Linked DNA regions of Drosophila melanogaster. The protein of the gene in region 1 interacts with the protein of each later gene in a pairwise test. Each region holds a gene or a part of one and is shown in the gene's direction. Other genes may lie near its edges. The genes, in order: CG13482, CG9467, btd and Hr3.

Region 1 (2,957 bases):
AGAAGGGGTTAATATGAATGGGGTGGCCTAACGCTTCCCCATGGGGAACCTTCCAAACGTGCCAGACTGAAAGTGGAATTTTCATTGGATGTGTAAACAAAACCAGCGGGGGAAAATGAGCCAGATGATCAAGTCTGAAAAGCTTTCGGTACGGTAGCACTAAAGTGAGTTTTTAAGGGGATATTCTCTGCTTTATGGCCGTGCTAATGTATTTTTTTTTTACAGAATAAAATTAGATTTTATGAATTTGTATGAAGGACATGTTATTTTATTATGATTTGCTTATGATTTATTGCAAATCTCTGAGACTTCCTGAGGTTTCTTGTAAATTACTATTTATTATGAGTTTATAATAAGTTGCCAATAAATTCAATTTATTGTTCCAATTTCATTAATAAACTTCGAAGTTTTTTTCTAAAACTTTCTCAAATATCCTTTTCTTCTTATTTTCCTCCAAGGTTGCCTTATCTACCACCAAAAGATTTCTTTACAAAGCTAATAAAATGTATTACCAAACTTTTGCAGAAGTTCTTTGAAAAGCAACTCCATAAAATCAAATTTATGTATTACCTGCATTGCCCCCTTCTATTTGCTTTCCCCCTACTTTCCAGCTTCTTTTTTACTCATTTCCTATATCGTTTTAGCTCCCTGAACTGCAGGAGGACAAAACCTCTGGTCGCACTTTAAATAAGCATTAAATTGATACAGCATAAAGTTGTTTCCTTCTCTTAGCCCGCTCTGTCTACCCCACTCTTTTGCTCCCAAGACGCACTCCAGACACACTCTAATCGCTTTATAACTTCTAACGCAGTTTATCAGAGTCGTCCGCAGCCCGTGGCCCCTCATCCCTTAATTCCAACACCCCCAAAAGTCATCCTTCCCATGCCATTAAGGCGGCTCAAAGGCAAAAGTTATTGTCACGCACTGAAGTCGCCTTCATGTGGAGTTGTGTGGTGCACTGAGAAAATCATTGGTTTTTAATAACTCGGCTCAAAATTATATTACATCAGTACGCAGGCTCTAGTCTTACAGTAAATATCAAATATTCTATTAATAAGATCAGTTAAAAAAGCTACTTTATTTTAGCAACATTATGAAAAGTTAACATTAGTTTACAGGGAATCCCTAAAATCATGTACCTATTTTGAGAGATATCCTCTTCATGGTAAATAACTCATACTCAATACACTGATAAGATTGTCAAGCTAAAGACGAAAATATTATGCAAGTGTTGATAAGAAGAAATTATATCAAGAGATTGTTTCTTTCTGTGCAATTTTTTTTATTGAAATGGTCGAAAGGGGGTATATAAACACCTCCACCCATGCCAATCTTCATGCAAAAGCTTTCTGGTTATTGCCTTCCTGCTCGCACTTTCTCTGTGCTTGTGTTGGGTGTCTTTAGTGCCTTTTTGGTTTTCCTCGCTTTTCTTCTTTCGTACTGTATTTTCTTATTTTTTGTTTAGGACTACGTCTGGCAAACAAGGCGGAAATTATTGTTGGCGGGGTCTTAAAGTTTTATTTTACCTTTTACATATCTATTTGTCAGCATCCTTTTTTTTGCAATATCAAATTGATGTTTTGTCTGCGAAATACTTTTTGTTTTTTCTTACATCTGCTATTACTATTACTGTCATTACATTCGTTAAGAATGAAAAGAATAAAAGCGCTTAAATGTTATGAATTAGTCCGGTGAGTAATTCCCGATCCATGATTGCACAAAAACATTGCTATCTTTATAGCCCACTTTGAGTATTAGCAATAGAATCGAAGTGAATCCCCAGTGAGTCAGTCGAATACACACCCCCTTCGATAAGATAAAGCAGCACAACAATAATACTATCTGAATTGTCAAGCTGTTCAAGTGGGATGTGTATATAAACTGGTCATATCAGCGGATGGAAAGGCAGTTAGCATTCAACAAGCAACGAGAGCAGTTTTCGAAAGGAATATATCAGTTTGATAAGGATTAAAAAAAGTAAAACATTCAAAATGTCGCCGCCACATCACGAAAATCGCCTGTTTGGAATCCACCTTGGCCTGAATTTGGGTGGAGGTGGACATCATCACCACCACCATCATCCACCGCCTCCGGTGCACCACTATCACCCACCGCCTCCGGTGCACCACCATCACCACCACGGACCTCCAATGCACCACCACGGACCCCCGCCGCACCACCACCACCACTACGGACCTCCGCCACCGCCGCCCCACTACGATCATCATCATCATCACCACGGCAGCCACTTTGACCATCATCATGGTCCTCACCATGGACATCATCATCATCACTGCTAGTACAATGGAATGGAAGGAAGGTCTTAAAAACCACAGCCATCAGGTGGCGAAATAATGAAAGTGTTTATAAGCGAATTTAATTTATTACATAAAGTGTACAAAAAACAAAACCAAAAAAATCATTAAAACCACTTAGACTTATACAAAGACATTTTTGAATGCTAGTTTCCTTGGGGAAAGTAAAAATAAATAAATTAAGAAGTACGATGATAATTCATGTAGAATTTTTTATATATGTATGTACTCGTAATGGATTTCTGCATTCCAAAAATACGTGTACTGCGCACTTAGTTAACAAATGTCCATACGATAAAGTATAAAATAACAACTAATCTTATCTTGATTGACATGACGCAAAGATTTCACCAAAACGTAATTGAACGATTCTCTATACATATAAAGCTGATTTTAAAGCCAAAGGAATCAAGAATAATTTTAAAACTTAATAATTCAAGAAATTCTAATCCAATAAGAAGATTATTGGCAACCACAAACACAAAACAAGACCACCCACGAAAACAAGTTTGTAAGCCGATAAATACAAATGAAATTAAATATAATTTTAGTACGGCTTAGATTCGCTTCGGGTGGGTCAAACAAAATGTTTGCCAATTACAAACCCATTTCGAAACGCTTTTATTTTTCTGCGGTTGTCAC
Region 2 (5,671 bases), on another chromosome or scaffold:
GTTGGTGTCGCACAGATTGGCGCCGTACTGCTTAAGATCGCCCAACTTGTGGACATCACCTTCGGTGACCGCGGCCGCCACCAAAGCGGGATAGAATGTGGAGCACATCTGCTGCCGTTCCATCGCCGTCGACATGTGCAATGTGCGGGCCACGCCCTCGATCAGATCAATGTCGTTAATCTTGGCAACCTTATTGGTGGTCAGCTCTCCGCGCAAACTTAGTAGCATCACCTTCTTCTTGTTGGGAATGTCCCACTCCGGCTTGGACAGCACATAGGCCAGTTTGGTAAAGGCTGCCTCCTGAGTCATATCGTAGCCGGGTATTACGCCCACTTCCATCAGACCCTGGCTTGTCTCGTAAATGTTGGCCACCATGCCCGCCGAGCACTGCGTAATGTTGACAATAATAACGCCTCTGTGAACCGCCTCCCTCAGTTCGTCCAGCAAGTCCTCACGATTAACCGGAAAATTGCCGGCCCCAAAGGTCTGGAGGACAACACCTTTCGTTGGCTCTTTCAGGATTGCCTGCACCACACTGGCACTTATTCCCGGGTAAATACGCAGCAGCGCCACGTTCTTTTCGAGTTCCGAATGAAGTGAAAATGGTTTAATATTGCACGGTCGGAAGATTTGGCGGCTGTTGATCTCAATGTTGACACTCGCCCGACCCAATGGTGCAAAATTTGGTGAGTCCAGTGCGTGAAAAGAGTCAGAATTGAGCTTCGTGGAGCGACAGCCACGTAGAATCTTGTTGCCGAAGAAGACCAGCACTTCGGGTATACTGTAATTTCCTGCTATGAGAAGTGCGCCCAAGAAGTTCTCCCGCCCATCGCTGCGGGCTTCAAAGATCGGAATCTGTGCCCCAGTGAATACCACGGGCTTGTTCAGGCTCTCAAGCATGAACGCTAGTGCCGAGGCGGAGTAGGCTAGGGTATCCGTTCCATGGAGGATCACAAAGCCGTCGTAGGACTTGTATGTCTTCTGCGAAAAAAGTTAGTTGCATATTTTGTATTAACCTGATGATCCTCGACTCTCAACTTACTCCCACTTCGTTGGCAATGCGCTTCCAGTCGCAGAAGCCCATGCAGCTGGAGTCCATCAGTGGGCAGAACTCAATCAAATCGTAAAGGACTCTATACGGAGCTCCAGACACTGCGGGTAGCACCATCATGGGACCATCATTATCCTTGCTGGTGTAATTCCTGTCGTGGCAGCTGGGAAACTCTTGAAGCTGCCGAGCCAGCACCTTGGGCGCGGTGTGCAGTACTGATGAGAAACAATTGATTAGTACACGGACAAGAGCCATTGATATACCCACCTCCGGACTCGTTGCGGATCATTCCGATGGTTCCACCCACGTAGATGACATGGACGCGAGCCTCCTTCTTCAAACAACCGCACTTCGCCGCCGGCATTTTGGGCTTTTTCGAAATTTTGAGTGGTGTCCGAAACTAAACTAAAGCGTAGTTCCAAAGGCTCAGAGTGTGACAGCAAGATCCATGAGCTTTTTGTTTTGATGCTTAATACAAGTCATAACTTTACAATATTTTCAAATTTACCACCAAGCGAAATAAACCGTTGCTTGACGAAAAGGTGGTATGACCGTATTGCATGGGAATTTAACCGAGAGTTAGAGATGTACACTGCTTCACAAGAAATATCGTTGCTTATAATTGTGGAAATGCATATACTTTCTGATGCCCAAATTAATTTTATTTCTATATTAATTATTTTTTAATGATGAATTGTTGTTTGGAAACCATCAAAAACCTTGGTGAGTTAACACATACAAAATCAAAAGTGGAAAGTTCAGCAAAACAACTAAATGCAACAGGGACCCCCCGTAAACAGTGACTCGTCATGGCTGGGAACAGTCACGACCAATTTGCCCATCCCTAGTTTCTACAGTGCAGTGCAACAAATAATAAATAAATAAATAGCCTGGCACAAAGAGTTAATCGAATAAATTGCACCCCGCAGCGCACGTCAAGTGGGTTGGGTACCGAAATCGCGAGTTATCTGCTCCGCTGACGCCGCTGCCACTGCTCCGCCATATCAGTTGCTGATTGGAGCGCTGGGAGCACGGAAGCCACACAAATAGAGGCGCATTTAGAGCAATCCCCACCGTCCGCTGCTGCGGCAGCCCGCGGGTCATCGGATTGCCATGTCCCACTTCACGCATGCCTCCAGCAGCGACCTGGTCAACCTCAATGTGGGTGGTCAGCGGTAAGAACAAAGAACCAACACATTACGGCCCACTAACGGCATTGATGACGCATGCAAACTCCATCTCACTATCCATAGCTTTTCCACGTCGCGGCAAACGCTTACGTGGATCCCGGACACCTTCTTCACGGCTCTTCTCAGCGGACGCATCTCGAGTCTCAGAGACGAGCACAATGCCATCTTTATTGATCGCGATCCGACGCTCTTCTCGATCATACTTAACTACTTAAGGACCAAGGACATCGACATCAAGAACTGCGAAATACGCGCTCTGCGCCATGAGGCCGAGTACTATGGCATCACGCCGCTGACCAAGCGCCTGGCCCTCTGCGAAGACCTTAACCACTCGTCCTGCGGTGATTTGCTGTTCTACGGATTTCTGGCGGCGCCGCCCATGCCGTCAAACGAAGCTGTGGCTGCTACTAGCGTTGACGAGTCATTGCCCTCCACTTCGGCCAGTGCGATTGGCAGTCGTCCTGGGTCCATGGTGCGCGTTCCCGAACCCTCACGCTCCTCACACTCGCGCAATTCATCATGGGATCTGCGCCTTGGTCGCACAGGTAGCACTGGCAATGGTGCCAATCCCCCAGCTCCCATGTTGCACTCACGTAATCCCTCGATTGACTTTATGCGCCACTCTCGGAACTCCTCGGCCGATCTGAACAAAGTCTTTCGAAACGAAGTTGGCCTGGTATTCAGTCCCACGCAGAACTCAAACTGGGTGGACCCGTTGCGAGTGCAAATCATTAAGGCGCACCAAAATTGGATAGCAGTGGCTTACGCACACTTTGTGACTTGCTACCGGGTGAAAGACTCCAACGGATGGCAGCAGGTGTTCACATCGCCCCACATCGACGCCACTATCGAAAGAATCGCCATCAACTCAAAGGTGAATACTTCCGCAGCAGAGCCACTGCCCAGCAAGATGGTGGCCATTTCTTACGGCAGTCAGATAAGATTGTGGAGCATTCAGGAGGGCGGCCAGAAAACGGATGTGGGCACGTTTAATTTAAATGTGCGAGTGGAGTACCTGTTCTTTATCGGCAGTCAGCTGGTGGCCCTGTCATCTTCCGGCAAGATCGGCGTCTGGCATGCGATGACGCAGCACTGGCAGATTCAGGACCTAGTGCCCGTGCTCTCATTCGATTCCGCAGGCTCTTTTTTGCTGCTGGGCTGCAACAACGGCTCCATTTACTACATAGACATGCAGAAGTTCCCGCTCCGGATAAAGGACAATGATTTACTGGTTACCGAGCTCTACAAAGATGTCACACTAGACCCTATCACGGCCATCTCGGTCTACCTTACCCCAAAAACCTCGAGCATAAGTGGCAATTGGATTGAAATTGCCTATGGCACAAAGTCGGGAGCGGTTCGAATCATTGTCCAGCATCCGGAGACAGCTGGCCATGGACCACACCTGTTCGAGACCTTCTTTGTGCACCAAAGCCCCGTAACGAAGGTGATGCTGTCGGAGAAATACCTCGTCTCCGTGTGCAGCGAATACCACCACGTGCGAACATGGCGTCTGACCCGCTTCCGGGGCATGCTCTCCACCCAGCCGGGATCCACGCCGGAAGCATCGTTCAAAATCGTGTCGCTGGAAGCTACCGATACGAGCTACAGCTATGCGGCTGGAAATGATTTTGGACCTTACGGTGACTACGACGACATGATATTTGTGCAAAAGGTGGTGCCCGAGACGGATCAGCTGTACGTACGCTTGGCCTCCAACGGTGATCGGGTGTGCGTCATTAGATCCGTAGATAGCTCCACAATTTCGGCCTTCTGTGTGCTCGAGTGCGAGGTATCGTCCCGGTTCATACTCACCGGTCACTGCAACGGCGCTATTCAAATGTGGGACCTAACCACTGCACTGGCGCTGCTCTCCAAGGATGAGCCGCAGCAGAAAATCAATGGCGGACCCGACACCAATGAGCTTCTCCGCCTACTTGACCAGTGTGAAATCAGCAATTCATCATGCACAACACCTTGTATGTCACCGTGTCTATCAGCTATGGGCAACGGCTCTGGAATGGCCTCCTCCATAGCCCGCATGAAAGCCAGCAACATAGCCCTGCTAAATCGGGAACCAGCAATGGCAATGGCCGTCCAAGCCGTCCAGCCGCCCGCTCAGGTCCAACCTGCTCTTCCAGAGGCTGTGGCGCCGGCAGCTGCTATCCCGATGGCTGACGACAACAACGAATGAGACGTGGAAGCGGCTGCTTGATTGGCGCTTGTCGGGCGCGTTTCATCGTTTACATTTCACAGGTATAGCTTAATCTTCGACTACCAGTTTATATTCCTGCAGTTCGTGGTGTGCGCCCTCATCTACGTCTGGGTGACGCGACTCACCCGCGGTCCAGCCACTGGGCCGTGATGAACTGCCAGCAGGCATTTACCCAATCAATTAATCTCCATTATATGTGCTCGATGTGTTTGCAAATGCAATGTGTATCCCGTAAACCCATTTTTTGTGCTCCTCCAAACTTGGATCGTACAGTTAGTAATTTAAAAAAAAAACGTCTGTCTTTGTTCTAGTTAAAGTTATGAAAATTAGTTAAAACCATGTAAACCAGAGTATAAGACTTCTGCAACCGATCATCTATAATTAGCACAACTCTCCTAAAGGGTGCTCCATCAGGACAGATACGAAATCGTTCGGCTTGGATAAGATTGGTTGCCTTAAGCAAAGAAAGTTCATTAAACAGCCAATCAGTTGATTGTCAACCTTGAAGATGATTACTTGTGATTAAAATCGATAGAGCGACTGCTTCAAATTCGAATCTGTCCTGTTGCATGCAATGCCACACATGAATATAATGATACGCCTTGTTGCAACCAGTAAACAGCTATACATATTCAATATAAATAAAGATAATTATACACAAAGAGATATCAAAATAGCGAGCGAGTTGTGTCATCAATAATTTATTGAACATTTTATCTTAGTTTCTTGATGGTTGAAGTGTTCCATTAACATTTATCAAATACAAATACTTGGCTTGCATTCTCGTGGGTGTTGTGTGTGTAAATACGTGTATATACGATATCCTACGCCTATACCGGACCTCAGTAAAGTAAAAAAGCAGCAAAAACGCCAAAACATATAAAAATATATATAATATACATTTGTGTATTGTAGGTAAGTTACCCCAACCCAACCCCGACCGCCATTTAAATATCATTGGCCTAAACACAACCCACTAACGACCGCCGGTGTGCTTAATAAACAATTTAAACAAGTGGCTCGTCAAGTGGGACCCCTGCCTTTAATTTACCTAAAATAGGACGCACTGGTACTGAGATAGAATAATAATAATGGAGTAGATACTTGGAGCGATTACCCACCCTCGCCCGGAAGCAATTGTCGAGCCGTTCATACAAATAGTTTGTACACAAATTCAACCTAAAGCTATGCTATATTCTAAAGGGCAAACCGATA
Region 3 (5,857 bases), on another chromosome or scaffold:
TCCGTTTCATTACATGTTGCCCAGAAGTGCGGCTGGTACCCTGTAAAGCCCAACTTGGGCATACTCGATTTTGATGTATTCTAAAATATTTAATAGTTAATATTCCAATTGTTTGTATTGTAACAAACTACTTGTTCACTTACGAATAATACTGACAAATCAGGAACAACAACTTTTTCTTTTATTTAAGCCCATAACAAATTGTATGTTTATTTGAACAATATTAAAAAAAGTCTTAACAATTTTTGACACATAGTAAAATATATCTGAAACTCAGAAATACTTGGAGTGCAATAGTATTGAGTCATATCAGTTGGTTAAACATTAAATCTCATATTATCCCAAGAAATCCCCTACATAATGATATTCATCTTAACAATGGGTAGCTTAAGAGTCGAGATGCACTTCCGTGAGCTTGTTCCGTTTTGGGAGTCATCATTATCTTTTCACAGCAGCAGCAAGTCGTAAAATTTGTGGCTCAGACCCACGTTGCGTATGCGTAATAAAAAAGACGCCGCGTAATAAAAAGGGAGCGAAAACAACAACAGCAACAGCAATTGTGATTAATATGCGGCACACAAGCATACACAAACGCACGCACACACGAAACGGGCGCAGGCCATGCGAGAGAGAGAGAGCGAAGGAGAGAGCTGCTGTCTCTTTTGTGGTGGTGTTTGGTCAACGCCCCTTTAAATACAGTTATTTCATTGGGCCGCGACCACAAATTTATTAGTTTTTATTGTTATTGTATTGATATTTGAATTATGCACGCTCCCTCTTCGTCTTCTAACGTTACTTTTTATCATTGGGATCCTCTGGAGAAAAATGCCATTAAACAGAAATTTTAATTTAATTAAAGTGATGAGCCATACTTCTTTCTCTCTGTCTGCTTACTTTCATCGAAACAAATTGATGGTCTGAGTGGGCAAGGGGATAATGAGAATTTAAGCAGATATTCGTGCTTTTAATGACGGTACTTGAAATGTGTAAAATGTCGAGTAATTTATGGGCATTAAAAATCGGTCGGATATATGTAACAATACCTATATTTTGTGTGTACTTAAGGTTTATATGAGAAATTTAAATGTTTAAAATTGAAAATAAAAACTAAATTTGTAGTTAGAAACTATCTCTAAGTTAGCAGACTTAAAAAAAATTAATACAATTTTTCTAAAATATTTGCTAAGCTCTTTATTTTGAATTGCAAAGGATACGTGAATACGTTATTTATTTTATACACATTTTGAGGGGTTGATAGGGTTAAAATAAACATAAATTATGGAATATATAGATTAACCAACTAAATAATAAAATATTTCAAATACTTCACTAATCAAATATTTCAAATACTTCACTAAAAATGCTAATAATGTAAATTATTTACACATATTCTTAAATACAAACTTTGCATTAAATTTAAGCCAACATTTTTGGCTTAAAGTTTAGATATAACCAACAATAACAACAAATATAAGCATTTTGAGCACTAGCTGAAACGACAACAACAACAGCAACAACAAAACGCATGCTCACCCAATTGCTTTGACACACAAACCCACACATAGAAATTAAAACAAAACGCCCGCGGCAGCAGCGCCAGCAATAACAACACTGCAACAGCAACGTGGAGAGAGAGCACCATACCGCAAGAGCGAAAGAGAGAGAGAGAGTGAGCTAGCTACGGAGAGTGGCTGCTGCTGCCGGGAGTGACACTTCCGCGCCACACGTGCAAGCGAGACGAAGCGAGTTGCCCCGAAGGCACACCGTTGCGGCCAAAAACAACCACCATGATGGTGCCGAGAGCGAGAGAGAGCGAGAGCTGGCTCAGCGCTCAGTGGCGATAGACGAGTGCGAGAATGTGACAGCACGAGCAGCAGCAGCGCTGCCGCTGCCCTCTGCCCGCGCCTCTGCCCGCAGCCAAGTGGATTCGTTTTGTACGTTGTTAGACTCTCTCGCCGCGTTTTGGAATTCAGTCGACAATCGACGATAATTACCGGTGGTTGTATCACATCACATCACGCGCAGCAGCAGCAGCACTACGAACGAAAGAAGAAGAAGCAGAAGAGCCAGCCGCAGTGGCAGCAGAGAAACTCGCTCGTTTTCGGATCTATATATATATATATGCATATAGATTTGTATATATAGAGGGATATATATATATATATATTTGCACGCAGCATTGGCGAATTTTCGGCCGCCTTTAATTTGTTTGTGTTTTTTCCGTGTTCTCCTCCGCGTGCTCGCAATTACGTGCGCGGCAGCAAAAGACTATAATTATAAAACTAAAGTGAAAAGCGTGCCATAATTACACGAGCGAATATCAATAAGTGCAAGAGCAATGTGCGAAAATTGTTAACGAACGCAGTAGCAACCAGAAGCAGTAAAACGCAGCAGCAATCGCAGCAGTAGGATCCAAACAAATCTCAGCGCAACATTAAAATCGCAAGCGTTTTCAACATGATCGATGCGGCCTGCAATTACTTAAATCCCTATGCGCAACAGCATCAGGCGCAGCAGCAGCAACATGCGCAACATCAGCAACACGCGCAACAACAGCAACATCATCTGCACATGCAGCAGGCGCAACATCATCTGCACTTGTCGCATCAGCAGGCGCAACAGCAGCATATGCAACACTTGACACAGCAACAGCAGCAGCAGCAACAACAACAGCAGCAACAGCAGCAGCAACAGCAGCAACAACAACAGCCGCAACAGCAGCAACATGACTTCCTCAGCGCCGCCGCCCTGCTGTCCGCCCCACCATCCCTATCCGGCTCGAGTTCCGGCTCCAGCTCCGGCAGTTCTCCGCTATATGGAAAGCCGCCAATGAAGCTGGAACTGCCGTATCCACAGGCCTCATCCACGGGCACCGCATCGCCCAACTCCAGCATACAATCGGCGCCATCATCGGCCTCCGTGTCGCCCAGCATCTTCCCATCACCTGCCCAGTCATTCGCCTCCATTTCGGCTAGTCCATCCACGCCCACCACGACCTTGGCGCCACCAACAACGGCGGCAGCGGGCGCCCTAGCGGGATCACCCACATCCTCCTCACCATCCTCGTCAGCAGCATCGGCTGCAGCGGCGGCAGCAGCAGCTGCGGCGGCAGCAGCGGACCTTGGAGCAGCGGCGGTCGCCAGTGCCGCCTACGGCTGGAATACCGCCTACTCCGGATTGGGGCCAGCGAGGTAAATATCCCTATATATAGGATTTACAGAAGTTGAGTTGGGAATCATTCGTAAGAAAGAAACTTTAAAATGCTAGTGATCAATAAATCAAAGCTTATAGATCATCAAATTTGTGGTTATTAGGGATACACTAATTTCGATCTGAATTAGATCTCCTTTTAATAGAATAACTACAGGCTGATTGTATTTCGATCATGAGCGAGATAAAGACATATATCTTTTGCAAATTATACAGTTTAATACATAGGAATATATTAATCAAATTATCCCGAAGATTGAAATGGATTAGCATACAAATAATCTCATAAACTTATAAAATGATAGGTACCACTTGAATACATTACAATTTAGTATTCCGATAGCAGGTGTACCCATTAAGTAAATGATTAAAAAAAACCAAATTAACCATTCTCTGTCTTCATTTCTTTTCTCCATCTAGAAGTCAGTTTCCATATGCCCAGTACGCCTCCGATTATTACGGCAATGCGGTGGGCATGTCCTCCTCGGCCGCTTGGTTCTCGCATCAGGAGCGCCTCTATCAGCCATGGAGTTCACAGAGCTATCCGGGCTTCAATTTCGACGACATCGCCTTCCAGACGCAATTGCAACGCCGCTCCGTTCGCTGCACGTGTCCCAATTGCACCAACGAGATGAGCGGCCTGCCACCGATTGTGGGTCCGGATGAGCGCGGACGCAAGCAGCATATCTGCCACATTCCGGGCTGCGAACGGCTATACGGTAAGGCGTCGCATCTGAAGACCCACCTGCGCTGGCACACCGGCGAGCGGCCCTTCCTGTGCCTCACGTGCGGCAAGCGTTTCTCCCGATCGGATGAGCTGCAGCGGCACGGACGTACGCACACCAATTACCGCCCGTATGCCTGCCCCATTTGCTCCAAGAAGTTTTCGCGCAGCGATCACCTCAGCAAGCACAAGAAGACCCATTTCAAGGACAAGAAGAGCAAGAAGGTATTGGCCGCCGAGGCCAAGGAGCAGGCGGCTGCGGCGATAAAGCTGGAAAAGAAGGAGAAGAAGTCGGGTAAGCCACTGACGCCACCCGTGGAATTCAAGCAGGAGCAGCCGGATACGACACCGCTGGTCAACTATGCGCCCTATGCCAATCTCTATCAGCATTCCACATCCGCCGGATCGAGTGTGAATCCTCCGCCGCCACCGCCGCCGCTCTTCCAGCAGCAGATGACGACGACAACATCATCGGCGGCGGCCAGCTTTGTGGAGCAGCCGTGGAGCAGTAGCAGCAGCCGTGCCATACAACCAGCCACTACCTCAGCCAGTTCATCCTCATCCTCCAGCGCCAGTTCCCCAGCGGCAGCGGTCGTTTCTGCCATTGGATCTGCATCTTCCCCAGCCGCATCAGCCACGGCGCTGGCCCAGCATCATTATGCCGCACTTGCCATGCAAAGTGAGTCCCAGCTGGCGGCGGAATATGGGCTAACCATGAGCGGATTGGCCAGCGGAGCTAGCCAGGATTCCAGCTCCAGTTGCCACATGAAGTCCGAGTATGCGGCCAGTTATCCGGCTGATTTTGGTGCGGGAACAGCCAGTTACGGTTATCCGCATCCACATCCGCACCATCACAATGCGTGGGCAGCGGCCTATCATCCACATGCCACCGCCTAGGATGTCCCCGATCCTTCCCAAAATTGTTACAGTTGAAAGTTGATGAAACAAATGCCATAATGTCCCAAAACCCAGAACGGCAACAAAGCAAGCGTAGAACGAAAATCTAGTGTGTGTTTTTTTTTCAGTGTTTATTGTTGATATAAAAATATAATGTGAAAATCAAAAAAAAATTTGAATTCACAAAATACCGTATAAGGCATTATATAATATTATATAAATATATATATATATATATACATACACATATATTAACTATACATGTAGAGACTAGAACTTGAATTTTTTTCATTTTTTTTCCCCCAATCTAGTAGCTAAGGCATTTTTTTTTGCATGTCTGTACATACAAACATATATAGCGTTCTTTTTAAGCCATACCATATAGAATGAGAGAAACCATCTAGTTGTGTACCATAATAATTGTTAATTGTCTTTAAGATAAATTATATACAACAACAAAAAGTGAAAAATCCAAGGCGACAAAATCCCCACACTGAAATGAAATCCTAACAATAAAAAAAAAAAACGAACAAAATAATATCGGAAAACAAAGCGAATCCAGTTTTTTATTATTCTCTCCGATCCCGACGCACCCTTGTTAATGGGTTCCTGGCTTGGTTAGATTTCAGGGTTGTTTGATCTCCGCCAGGGGTTGCTTTCTTGCATATAAATCGAGGGATCCAGGAAGCTTCCCGACTTCCGGCGAACTTGATCTGCTTTTGGGTGCTGACCTTTGGCGGTATTTGGATAATAATAGAAACTTTTTCAATAGCAATCATTATAGCTGTCTGCATTTCTAGTTATAATTTCATCAACGTCGGCCATCGCTTTAAAATTGCAAAAACATTGTTAGCTTGGGAGATGTACATCATTTATAGATTGCTTTACTTTAAAATGTGCATAAATAAAGGTACGAATGTGATATGTATATATCCTTAAATACAATGATTTATTTAGTCAAGATACACATAGTTGTAGAATTTCATAACAATCGGATGTGATTTAATAGTAGTTTTTCTCACTAAA
Region 4 (4,818 bases), on another chromosome or scaffold:
ACAACAGTAATGGCCCGGCCAACTGTTGCCTCATCGACAGTGGGGCTGCAATAAACCAGTTGGAAGTCGCAGCTAATCTTGCAACACAGTTGCGCAACAAAGAATCCGAGGCAACGGTACTAACGTGTTTGCTGTTTCTGCTGCTATTGTGGCTATACGCTGGCTTCTTTTTGATTCTGTTCTGTTCTTTGCTTTTCTCCGTCTCCATTTTCTTGGCAATCAGCTCTCTGAGCCAGTTGCGTGTAACAGGTTTTTCCTCTTGAATAACTGGGACTTTCTTACGGGACTTTTTCGGAGAGTTTCTGCAGAGAAAACAGGTTAGAATCGGCACAGACTTGCAATAGATGATGAGGCAACAGCCGCCGCAAGAAGTTTACAACGGTGAGGCACACATTTCGCGTTCACGTTAGAACCAACGGTGTTTTAGCCAAGTTTAGCTGCAAGCTGCTAGTAAGCTGGTTGGCAGAACCACCAACCAGTTACCAGTTACCAGTTAGCTCTTGATTGTTGTTGCGCAAGCGGCAGCTGAATGCGGCGCAGAATAAATCTAACATGATTTAAGCAACGGAAAAACATGAAATATTAATGCCGATGCTTGAGTCTTGGCTCCGAATCAGAATCCGAATCCGTCCTAACGGTGGTCGCTCCGTTCGCCATCATCGACCCTCCTCTATAAGAAGTTTGGCCCTATGCCACCCAATTCCCCCACTCCCCTCCCCGCCCTAATGATGGCTCGATCCGATCGGTTGGGCTGGGGCCCAGTTGGGCGATTAGTTCAAATTTGCCCCGTCTGTTGGCCAATGGCCGAGATGTTCTCGGTTCGCCCCTTTTTTTGGGCATTCTTGACTCGAGGGTCATTGTGGTCATAGCTGTTCTTTGATTGGTTTTTGCCCAAATTGGCATTGGCAGCTTTAATTAGCGAGCTTAACATTTTAGTGCATTCTTGTAGTTTTGAGAGCACTAAAAATGCGCATTTTATGACTCATTTAAAAATATATATGTGCCAATGTTCATACTATTTATGACACTTTAAAGCTTTTTATATACATACTATATAATTATAAATACATGTATATTATCTTTACACAGCTTGTAGTAGACAAGACTTCGTATATATAATGACTTACTACTGCATCTATAGTTTATCCGTGTTCTACAAATTTGGTTTATAAACGAGGGGTTAACCATGAATTACATATCTTATGCACTATTTAAATGCATAACAAAAGAAAATATTTGTTTACCAAATATGTTTCTTTTTAAACATGTATATATAAAAATATATATCATAGTTGATTTTTTATTAACTAATTTTATGAATTTTTACAAATATTATAAATGGCAGTTTCAGTTGTTAGTTGAGTAAATGTCGAAAGTCAAGCCCAGAAGACTCATTCAAAATTTTCCGCCCTTGGAATTTCCACCTCGAGCGTGCAGAAATTTCCCATGACGCTTTATCACCACGACGGGAATTTTCCTGGCCCTTAGCCCGCCCCCGCCCCCACTGAGAGTTTTAGGGGTGGAAAAGCTGCGCAACAAACGTTCGTTCGACTGTGCTCGTTTTCCTTCGTGTTGTGGCTTCCAGTTTTTCCTGGCTATGCACTTGGCATTATGCCTACTAACCCTATTTTCGCAGCAGTTCGCAGCGAGTCCCATTTTTCAACTTGCATGCGGATACACACGCACACACACACTCGGATTTTCCTTTTCCCAGAAACTGAGGCGCAACCCCCACGAAACGGAAAGTTTGTGCAGCGGCAGAACGAACTGTGTTTGTGGCACTCGAATTTGGGACACATTCCTGTAAAGGACGCAGCTCCGGTCAGCTGCTTCGCAAAATCGACAAAAAGGAGTCACAAAAAAACGCGCGCGGTGCATTTAGCCACAAATCTCTGAAAGTGAAAATACAAATATTGAAACAGTGAAATCCACAAACCAGCCAAAAGTGAAACAAAATTGAACACAGTGCTTAATTAATATCGAAGCTAAAGGGATAGAAATCCGATTAGGAAAAGGGAAAGCTGCAGCGCTGCTCCTGTTTGCCAAATATTGATTCGCAAGTGTGCCGCTGAAAAATCGATTATTAAAGCCACTTTCCACACAGCTGGTGGTTGTTGTTGCCGTGAGGATGGAGGTGGTGCTTGGGGTGGTGGTTGCATAGGGTTGCGTGCCGCGATGTGGGAAATCAACAGCAACATTGGCACATCCACATCCAGATCCAGAGGCACACTTCCAACTGTTTTGACGTGGTCGGGTTCCAATGGCGCTGACACTACCGAATGCTGCAGCGCAGCCTTGCAGCCATCCAGCGGCGACGCGTTGCATGTGCAGCAGCAACAGCAACAGCAGCAGCAACATCAGCAGCAGCAGCAGCAGCAACAGCAACAGCAGCAACAACAGCAGCAGCAGCAGGATACGAAAACGAGGATGACAACGACCACAGGCAAACGCGGAGGACACAGATACAGAAGCAGGCTCAGTCACCGAAGCACAGCAACAATTGCTGCATATTAGGCAGTAAAGTAAAGTTAAACACAACCCAAAACCGAAAAGACTAGCCCAAAATTTACTCAAAAACCAACACAAGTGGAAAGCATTAATCGGAATGTCGAACTCTATGCATCGCACAAAGTTACGTTAAGTATACGACGCGTATTTCCAGCTGCAAAACGAACCAAAAACGAACCGAACGAAACGAAACGCACAGGTGCATCTGCAGACCCCACTACGCCCCTAAAAGCCCACTCCCCCCCCTTTTCGAACCCTCAGCCCCTCATTAGGCCACCCCCTCTGGGGTATCTACACCAATTGACAAGCAATCGAGGCAATGCAGTATGAATGAACTTGTTTAGTCGACAATTTTTTAAGTGCACTTTCGTAAGGCTGATTTTCAATTTATTTCGATGTTGTGCTTCTACACCCAAAAAAAAAACCAAATATAACAAGTAACAAATACAAGCATAAAAGAACCCAAGAAATTCAAGCAATGAACCAAGTGAAAGTGTGAGTGTTTAGTGTTTTAAGCGAAGGCGAAATCCGGACATTTGAGAGCCTTTGTGAGTAAACGGCCGCCACAACGGATAGGCCCAGAGATCTCCTGCTGATACAGCAGGCCAAGCCCGCCGGCGGCAGCAAATCCTCCAGCGGTGGTCCAACGTATATCGGCACCGATGCCGCCACAGCAGCGGCGGTGGCCAATCTGCGCAGCAAGGTGCCCTCCATCTCAATAATCCCGCTGCCCGTCTCGACCACCATTGTGGCACGCAGTGGTAGCGGTGCCTCTGGCACTGGCGGCAGTGGAGGAGCACCGCCAGCACTGCCCCAGCTGATCCAGTCGTCGCGGAGTGTGTCCACCAAATCCACGGGCACGTCTCCACCATTGGCCTTTATAACGGAAGGTTCTGGAACATCGGGTGCTCCCGCCCTGACACTGCTGCCACGACCCCAGCAGCAGCACCAGTACCAGCAGACCGACAAGTGCACGGTCCTCAAACTGGACGTACTGAAGCAGCAGTCGGGTGTGGCAGCCAACTCCAGCAGTAATACCTACCTGCAGATCGAGCAGCAGCTCAGCGAACTGGAGGCCGCCGACGAGGAGGAGGAGAACATGGCCAGTTTGCTGGGCAGTGCGCCACCCGCCCAAATCCTGGCCAACCAGCCCATCATCGTCAAGATCGAGCCCACGCAATCCTTCCACATCGTGGACGAGGGCGACACGAGAGTACTGAGCTTGCCCCTCAGCGATGCTGATAAGCTGGGCGCCAGTTGGATAGATCTCAAGGATATTGCCGGCCTACAGGCCGGTGGCGGAGCCACCTTGCTGGACGTCTGCTTCGAGCAGGCCAACGAGGACGGCACCATCATAGCCACCGTGCAGCCGGACTTGGAAAACGAGCTCGAGGCTGAGCTAAAGGCGGAGGGCGAGCCCGAGGATGAGACTGAACCAGAGCCTCCGGCGCCCAAGAGATTGGCGACCACCAGGCCAGCACAGTCGCGGCCACAACAGCAGCAGCAACAGCAGCAGCAGCAGGTGAAATTCCTATCGGATCCACCGGCATTGGCACGCTCCAGCAGCTTCAGCAGTCTCAGCAGCTTTAGCAGCATCAGCAATATCAGTTCCGTGTGCAAGAACATGGCCAGCAATACCAGCCAGGAGGGCTCCCTAAAACGCACAAAGGAGCGAACTCCTCCACCAATGCCACCGCTCACGACTCACAAGCCCGCTGCCACAACAACAGCAACATCAGCAACATCTGCAGCCGCAGCAACATCAGCAGCAACAGCAAGTGCAACAGCAACATCGGCCAGAGAAAACAGCAGAGAGCACAGCAGCAGCAGCAGCGGCAGTAATGGAGCCATGACAGGTATGTTCCAGTGCAACTCTCAATTATATTTTAGTCAATTTGGGAATATATATACTGTTCGAGACGATAATATATCTACCAATAATATATCTTCATATGCAAAAGCAATGTTCTTCGTCACTCTTGCTCTTAACAAACGTTAAAGAATTTTACTAAGCCATTGTGAGTGATTGTAGCAAATATTTGAAAGACCTTAAGTCAAGGATTCCCGCGAGTGATGAGTTCGCACCCCAGAAAACTCGGCAAGAATTCCACTTGTTGCGAACAACCGCCGGCTAACCACAGCACAGTGAGCACTCGCCCAGAGCGACCACCAACGATCAGCGATGGTTCAGATAATCGCACCCATATCCCCCAGATCCCCTCCCCCTTCCCCCTTCCCCATTCCACGCCAGAATCCGAGCTATGCAAATGAACGCTCGCCCATTGCGCAAGCATCCCAGGCAGCGGCAAT

Evidence for each region.
Region 2: the proteins of CG13482 (region 1) and CG9467 interact in a two-hybrid assay, tested with the Drosophila melanogaster proteins (one large-scale study listed by BioGRID).
Region 3: the proteins of CG13482 (region 1) and btd interact in a two-hybrid assay, tested with the Drosophila melanogaster proteins (one large-scale study listed by BioGRID).
Region 4: the proteins of CG13482 (region 1) and Hr3 interact in a two-hybrid assay, tested with the Drosophila melanogaster proteins (one large-scale study listed by BioGRID).

The regions. Positions count from the first base shown.
Region 1 is NT_037436.4:14,327,446-14,330,402, forward strand, and holds CG13482 (uncharacterized protein), read left to right. Parts: upstream 1-1,900; 5' UTR 1,901-1,991; coding exon 1,992-2,300; 3' UTR 2,301-2,440; downstream 2,441-2,957.
Region 2 is NT_033777.3:9,797,224-9,802,894, reverse strand, and holds CG9467 (uncharacterized protein), read left to right. Parts: upstream 1-1,868; 5' UTR 1,869-2,164; coding exon 2,165-2,226; intron 2,227-2,304; coding exon 2,305-4,435; coding exon of another isoform or gene 4,436-4,606; 3' UTR 4,607-5,126; downstream 5,127-5,671. Other genes in the region: CG8526 (uncharacterized protein), read right to left, coding at 1-981, 1,043-1,266, 1,319-1,415.
Region 3 is NC_004354.4:9,692,217-9,698,073, forward strand, and holds btd (buttonhead), read left to right. Parts: upstream 1-1,969; 5' UTR 1,970-2,457; coding exon 2,458-3,191; intron 3,192-3,630; coding exon 3,631-4,831; 3' UTR 4,832-5,342; downstream 5,343-5,857. UniProt on the Drosophila melanogaster protein: Required for the development of the antennal, intercalary and mandibular segments of the head.
Region 4 is NT_033778.4:10,231,570-10,236,387, reverse strand, and holds the start of Hr3 (hormone receptor 3), read left to right. Parts: upstream 1-1,780; 5' UTR 1,781-2,175; coding exon of another isoform or gene 2,176-2,514; 5' UTR 2,515-3,076; coding exon of another isoform or gene 3,077-3,607; coding exon 3,608-4,364; intron 4,365-4,818. Other genes in the region: CG12912 (uncharacterized protein), read left to right, coding at 2,176-2,514. UniProt on the Drosophila melanogaster protein: Putative receptor whose ligand is not yet known.